Caenorhabditis elegans: one gene and its partner. The protein of the gene in region 1 interacts with the protein of each later gene in a pairwise test. Each region holds a gene or a part of one and is shown on either strand. Other genes may lie near its edges. The genes, in order: dhs-14 and lin-39.

Region 1 (3,926 bases):
CGATTTTCTGGCAAAGTTGCACTTGTCACCGGTAAGAATTGTTCTGTTTTATGTTTCGAAAATAGAGGTTTAGGCTCGTCAAACGGAATTGGGCGTGCTGCAGCTGTTCTGTTCGCAAAAGACGGAGCAAAAGTTACAGTTACTGGAAGAAATGCTGAAAGGCTTGAAGAAACTAGACAGGAAATTTTGAAGTCAGGAGTTCCGGAAAGTCATGTTTTGTCGGTTGCAACTGATTTGGCAGCTGAAAAAGGTCAAGATGAACTAGTTAATTCTACAATTCAAAAATTCGGGCGCCTTGATATTCTGGTCAACAATGCCGGAGCAGCTTTCAACGACGATCAAGGACGTGTTGGAGTTGATCAAGATGTCTCAGTTTACGATAAAATTATGCAGATTAACATGAGAAGTGTGGTTACTTTGACTCAAAAAGCCAAGGAGCATTTGGTTAAGGCTAAGGGAGAAATTGTCAATGTCTCGAGTATAGCTGGAACAGCTCATGCGGTAAGCTAGGTTAAAGCATATTATGACCTCCGGTAGTTTTTGCTCTGGTAAGACTTAATGATCTAGGAAAAATTAGATTTCGGGGAATTTTATTACTCGCCGCTGACTTAATTTTAGAGTAGTTTGATCAATCGAAAATCAGTTTTGCAAATCGAATTATTGCCTGGTAGCCTAGTAGGAGTGAGCGGCAATCGGCGATCGGCGATCGGCGATTTCTGTAATTTTTCGGCCTGTTGCTCAGCCCTGCTGGTAGCCTGGATTCCCGTCCCCAAATATGAGTATTAAAATTTGCATGTTTCCAGCAACCCGGAGTTATGTACTACGCAATGTCAAAGTCGGCTCTCGATCAATTCACCAGGTGTGCAGCCATCGATCTTATTCAGTACGGGGTACGCGTGAACTCGGTGAGCCCGGGAGGTGTCACTACCGGGTTTGGAGAAGCTATGGGTATGCCGAGTGGGGCGTTTGAGGAGGTGAACATAAGACACAAATTCCTAGAATTTTTCGAGTTTTCAGATGATGAAGTTTATGGAGTCCCGCAAGGAGTGCATCCCTTCTGGAGCTGTAGCTAAACCAATCGATATTGCCAATATTATTGCGTTCTTGGCTGATCGTAAGCTTTCTTCCTATATTATTGGGCAGTCGATAGTAGCTGATGGAGGATCTACACTGGTCTTGGGAATGAATGCTCACAACTGGGCGGATCTTATGAAGCAATCTTAAATTTTGTTGGATTTAGTGGTGAATAAATATTGGAACTAGTGATTTTGTTGTACAAAACAGGGATGGACGGCAAGCTATGTTTTCCGGCAAATTGGCAAATCGGTAAATTGGTAAATTGGGAGAATTGATATTCCGGCAAAAATTCAAATTGTCAGAATTGAAATTTTCGGTGAAACGGCACACTGCGGGAATTAAAACTTCCGGCAATCAGGCAAGTCGTCAAGCTGCCGGAATTGAAATTTCCGGCAAATATTCAAATTGCCGGAATTGAAAATATCCGGAAAAATGGCAAACCGGCAAATTGCCGGAATATAAACTTCCGGCAATCAGGCAAATCGTCAAACTGCCGGAATTTAAATTTCTGACAAATCAGCAAATCGATAAATTGCCGGAATTTAAAATATTCGGAAAATCGGCAAACCGGAAAATATTCGATTTGCTGAATTCGCCGGGAAACGGCAATTGCTAAAAATTGTCGGCAAATTGTGGTTTTGCAAATTTTTTTTTGAAATTTTAGAATTTCAATTTCAATCGGCAATATCCTGTGAATGTTCCTACATACAATTTAAAAATTAAGCAAATTCTATGAAAATTTCTAAAGAAAACGGGGAAAAAAATTTAAAAAGGCACAGTTTTAAGTGTTTCCGTCTTATAAAAAATCCCTCTAAAAACGGTAAATCGGCATTTTACCAATAGTCAAAATTTCCGGCAAACCGGCAAATCGAAAAATTGCCGGAAATTAAAATTTCTGGCAAATCGGCGAATCGGAAAATTGCCGGAAATTTAAATTTCTTTAAAATCGGTAAGCCGAGCGGTAGAGGGCTACATCGGGCATGTAATGTAATCGTGCAGAATAACATCGGTCAAAAAATTGGTTCGAACCACCAAAAAAGGAATTTCCATTTTTGTGGTATCAAAAGTCTAGTCATTATTTATTGACATAATATTTTTATTTTCTTATCAATATAAGCTGCCACAGTTTGCTTAAAGCACATCACAGACCACATTTCAACAAAAAAATCACGCAATAAAAGCATTGATTATCAGTATCAATATTTAATTTCTACACTACTGCTATGACTCGATTCTCTGGCAAAGTTGCTCTTGTGACAGGTATTTTTTTCAAATTTATTTTTCTTCATTTTTATAATGAATCATTGAAGGCTCCTCAAACGGAATAGGTAGAGCCACTGCTGTACTTCTGGCTCAGGAAGGAGCAAAAGTTACGATTACTGGAAGAAATGCTGATAGGCTTGAAGAAACTAGACAGGAAATTTTGAAGTCAGGAGTTCCGGAAGATCATGTTTTGTCGATTGCAACTGATTTGGCGACTGAAAAAGGTCAAGATGAACTAGTTAACTCTACAATTCAAAAATTCGGGCGCCTTGATATTCTAGTCAACAATGCCGGAGCGGCTTTTAATGACGATCAAGGACGTGTTGGAGTTGATCAAGATGTCTCAGTTTACGATAGAATTATGCAAATTAACATGAGAAGTGTGGTTACTTTGACTCAAAAAGCCAAGGAGCATTTGGTTAAGGCTAAGGGAGAAGTTGTAAATGTTTCGAGCATCGGAGCAGGACCACAGGCTGTTAGTTCCTTTTCTCTTCACTTTTTTACCCACTTCTGTATTTTAGCAACCAACTTTCATGTATTATGCAATGTCAAAAGCCGCATTGGATCAATATACCAGAAGTGCTGCCATCGATCTTATTCAGTACGGGGTTAGAGTCAACTCGGTGAGCCCTGGAGCTGTAGTGACAGGTTTCGGAGAAGCAATGGGAATGCCTGCTGATATGCATGAGAAGGTGAGAAGCCTCATAGTAGGCAGGCACTTTTGCAGATCTGCCTACTTAAAATACAAATCCTTGACACGTCATTTTACCAAAATTTAGTTGTAGGAAAATCTGATTTTTTACCACTTGTTCAAAAATATTTTGAACAATCTTTTTAAATCTTTTTAAATCTTTTTAAGCAGGAAGGTAGGTAGGTGAAGCCCAGGGTAGGTTTTACAAGCTCTTAAAATTATTCAATTTTCCATTTTTCAGTATGGACATTTCATGGAATCTCGCAAAGAATGTATTCCTTGCGGAAAAATGGGGCAACCCATCGACATTGCCAATATAATTGCGTTCTTGGCTGATCGAAAACTCTCTTCATACATTATTGGACAGTCGATTGTGGCAGATGGAGGTTCGACTTTGGTAATGGGAATGCAGGCACACAATTTTATGGATCTTTTGAAACAATAATTTTTGTATACATTTTTTTAAAAGTAAATTGTTTTATTAAAGTTTTTAACAGGCAACTAAAAAAATTTCCGTTTGAGTTAACTTTGACGGATATAATCCACAAACATGAGCCTAGAGTAAAACCTGAAGTGAAATTAAAAAATAAAAATAATTCCTATGATTTTCCCGTATTTTTTCAGTTTTGGAAAAAATAGCTTTTGGTCAAATACTGCAATTTTCTCTAACAACCTTCCGTACAAGGTAGCCTACTTTGTTTAACATTTTCTGGTATAAATTACTATTGACAGATCCATTTTTAAAAACATGCTTTATTGGATGCCACTGAATCTGAAAAAAATATATAAATTTTAATTATTACGCTTAGGCGGTATATATATTATAGGCTTATCCTTAGGCTTAGGCGGGGCTGGGGGTGGATAAAAATTGAGACTCTCCAGCGAGAAATTGGAG
Region 2 (3,926 bases), on another chromosome or scaffold:
CGCGTCGGGGCGGTTGAACATTTGTTAAAAATGTGACGTCTCCCTCTTTCTCCTCTTTTCTTCCATTGCAAAAGAGACAGAATACCGGGCGCCATCCTTCCCCGATCCCGCCCATTTCTCCTATTGGACGAAGGGTGGAGTCTCAGAAAGCGGAAGGGATGAGGGAATAGAATAAGAGGACGATAGAGATGAATGCAGTAGTTAAAAAAAGAGATCAAATTTTTTTCATTGAAGTAGATCATTCAGATATTCCTAAAGTCTACATATCTTCAAAAACCGAATAACTAGTAGAATAGGTATTTAAATTTGAACAATTGTAGTGAGAGCAAGAAAACTAACAATTTGTGCTGCTAGTCTAGAATTCAGAGATACGTGTACAATCGCAATCAATGACCGGATCAATATCTCCCAAGAGCCCAAATTTTCAACACAAAAGTTAAATACGATGATTCAGTTCTTAAAATTTTGAAGAACTTTCAGCAACCATCAATTTCTTTTACAGGTGATCAGAGCTTTAAAATTTATTAAAATTCCTGGGCACATATAATTGAAACCAATAAATTTCAGAACACGAATTAGCAATAATTACCGTTTGATAGATTTTAAATTTTAATTTAAGAACCTTGTTTTTTTTAATTACTGCATTCATCAAAAGGAATTAGATCAACCTATCAACTACTTGTACCTAATCCTTAGGAAATCATTAAAACTAGGAAAACAACAAAAGCTTAAGAACGGAAACAGAACAAAAAGAGAAGAAAAGTAAAGAGTTGGAAATGGAGAGAGAAAAGATGATGGTGATAAATTGAGGAGCAATCTGCGAGAGACGAATTGTTTTTGTGGGTGTGCTCAAGTGGGTGGTCATGGTTTAAGACCCGCGGGTTTTACCTTATAAGATTGGATAATTGCTCTAAATAGCTTTATATAAACTAGTAAGCAATCTATGAGGTCAAGAAGAAGTATGGACTAGAAGTCTTTATGTGTTTTCTCTGTAGGCCTAAGCTCTGAAATGTTACCTAACACTATTCCACACATTCTCCATGTCTTGAATATTTATGTGACTACTGATTACAAAATGAAATTTCAGAAATATTGAGGCTGTGGGCAATCCTCGAAATTTGACGAACTCAGCAATTTCGGTAGATTTGTCGCACACACCTGACAATGAAGCTTTTAAGTTGGATAATTTAAAGTTGTGATAATAGCTTTTTTAAAGTAAGATTACATTTTGTTTTCTTCTATGATTCACAAATTAAACGAGGGTGAGATTCAATTTATTTAAATGATCGGCAGAATAACGGGAACACGGTAAAAAGGCGCCTTCGCAACGCCTCATAAAGTGCAACATCTAATCTGGGCTCATTTCTTCCAGATATGTTTTCAATTTTTCAATGGTATATTCTCCAATAATGCAACATAAAATGTTTTTTCGGAACGCAGGTAATTTGAATAAATTCCTACAACAAAAAAAAAACAGCAGAAGCCAAAGCCGAGTATCTAAAAATGTTTCAAATACTGAAATTTAGTCGATAACTTTGCGAAAATATAAGAGGGTTCCGAAATAAACTAGATTTTAAACGTTTTCTGCCACAAAGGTGGAAAATTGATATTTGAAGTACATAACTTGCAAAATTTAAAGACTACGTTTTAAATAGTAGAGAATTTTCCTATAACTTTTTCAGGTGACCTCTAGGTTCAACTTATTTAAAGTTAAGTTCCAGTTTCATTTAGAACTTTGAGAAGCTTTGTGCCAGGAGTGGATTTAAAAAAAGAGAGATTTACCTTAATTCTAGAAGGTCGTAAAAAAATGTTGCCAAAATTCTATTGTTGGTATTGCCATCGGAATTTCCTCTATCGCCCTCCCACTTCATGTCTTCTAATCCGGGCGGCACGCACAAGAAGACGCAGACGTACTGATACACGTGAAGGGTGGAGCATGCTTCTTCTCCAATCTCCCCCACTGTCGGCATAGATCAAAGAGGTTCGTGGAGCCGAGAGCACATCTCTTGCTCTCGCCTTTTCAATTCATCACTGACAGCGCTGGATGGACATGGGGTGAGAACGACAGGTACCGTAAGCTTTTGGGCTCCAAGAGTAGAAGAGTTGAGCAGAATGAATTTTCGCTTTTAAGTTGCCGCTTTTAGGAACAAAATCTTGACCAACTTTTTCCCATTGGACAAGTTGTCAAGAGTCAGTCGAAATGTGCTCAATTTTATGAACTCTCTGATTTTATAGATATGGAATTGTTACATGAAAATTGGAAAAATGGCAAAAAGGGAGAGTATCTCGGCTTTGGGCTAAAACTTGAGCAGAAATTGAGCAAGGTTTCGACAACATAGTCTAAGACAAGTATTGTCAAAGCTCTTACCAACTTTTGCCAACATCTGATAGTCCGCTTTTTGAGCCAAATGCCTGGTATGCACAAAAAGTTCAAATGACCAAAAGACGAATTTCTGTGAAATTTTAAAACGGCGTTATGGGAATTTTGAAAAACGTTGAAGTTTTTCTAGGTCATTGATCAGATTTTCTAAAAATTTAAGCTTCTAGCTATTTCTAGCTAAATTAAATGTTATCAATACTTGGTCGACACCAAACACTATTTTTTGGAATTGTCAAGATACCTAAATATAAAAGTCTACAACTGAAGCATACGCTTAATATGTTTTCAAGATTTTGCAAGGCATCTGAAATTGCTTCGAGATTTCCAGCAGTGCCTCACCTTGTTCTTAAAAGTAAAAGTTCCCGAAACTTGAGGTTTCAGAAATGCCAACTGCAACTGAATTGATTCCAACGCCTCTTACAAAATGAAAGAATAAAGTTCTAGAAGTTCCCTACTGTAAACATGCAAACAGAGATATTTAAACTATTTATAAAACTTAAAATGTGTTACTTTTGTTAACTTTGAAAGTCTTTTTTAATTTTTTGATTAAAATAAAATTTTCAAATTAACAGTACATAGAGAATTACAAATTCTCAGAGCCACAACACATGATAATGTACTATAAAAGGAAATAACCCAAACACATCACATTTTTTATTTCATTATCAGTTTTCTCAATCTATAAATGATCCAATATCCTCACACCTCTCACAGTATAGATAAGGAGATAAGAATTGCATAACACTGTGGTAATAAATAAAAAAAAAAAGTGAGTAAATGATTAGTAAGTGATTATGCAATTGACTCAAGTCTATTTCCTGTCTCTTTTACAGTGATTTATGAGTGTCAGGAAGCATCAAGAAGTGTGGAATGAATGGCATCCAATTACTCATTTGTAGGTACACGAATCAAGAAAAAATAGGTTGAAGAAGTGTAGGGATCTTCTCTCTTTTACAAATTGATGTTCGACAATTCCTCATTTTGATTTTTTTTGGTCTTCCAATCTAGTGCAAACAGAAACGAGATAGAATGAGTTACAGTAGGAAGTTCATTAATCAAATGACGAGAAAAAGAGGGAAAAGTAATGAATACATTGAAGCATAAGACAAAAAAGAAATGAAAGGAAAGGAAATTGAACCACCGGGGGATGCCTGGTGAAAAATGAGAAAAGAGGTAGCGAGTTTGGAAAATTGGAGTTATGAACTATATCTGAAAAAGTCAAACGAAAAGGGTTCAAAAGATCTAGAATATAAGCATCTGGAAACTTTAGCGTAACTTAACCCTAAATATAGTAAAACATTTAATTCTCTGATTGAAAAAAGTCTTAAACTAGATTCTAGACTGTCTGCCATATCAAGAATGTTAGATTATACGTCTACTTCAGAATGAGTGGAAACTTTTTACTCAAAGCTCGAAAATTCTCAAAAACTCGAAACATTAAAATAAGCTTGTCAGAAAATAGACCCGCACTTAAAAGAACACAGGTAAGGTTTGGCTAAACCTTTGACAAGAGTTGAATGAAAACACTTTCTGCCCAACCTTAACG

What was found.
Region 2: the proteins of dhs-14 (region 1) and lin-39 interact in a two-hybrid assay, tested with the Caenorhabditis elegans proteins (2 studies listed by BioGRID).

The regions. Positions count from the first base shown.
Region 1 is NC_003283.11:2,763,569-2,767,494, reverse strand, and holds dhs-14 (DeHydrogenases, Short chain), read left to right. Parts: upstream 1-2,294; 5' UTR 2,295-2,300; coding exon 2,301-2,337; intron 2,338-2,387; coding exon 2,388-2,815; intron 2,816-2,861; coding exon 2,862-3,032; intron 3,033-3,272; coding exon 3,273-3,476; 3' UTR 3,477-3,514; downstream 3,515-3,926. Other genes in the region: cror-2 (DeHydrogenases, Short chain), read left to right, coding at 1-31, 74-501, 804-974, 1,018-1,224.
Region 2 is NC_003281.10:7,534,808-7,538,733, forward strand, and holds the start of lin-39 (Homeobox protein lin-39), read right to left. Parts: upstream 1,826-3,926; 5' UTR 1,783-1,825; intron 1-1,782. UniProt on the Caenorhabditis elegans protein: Transcription factor.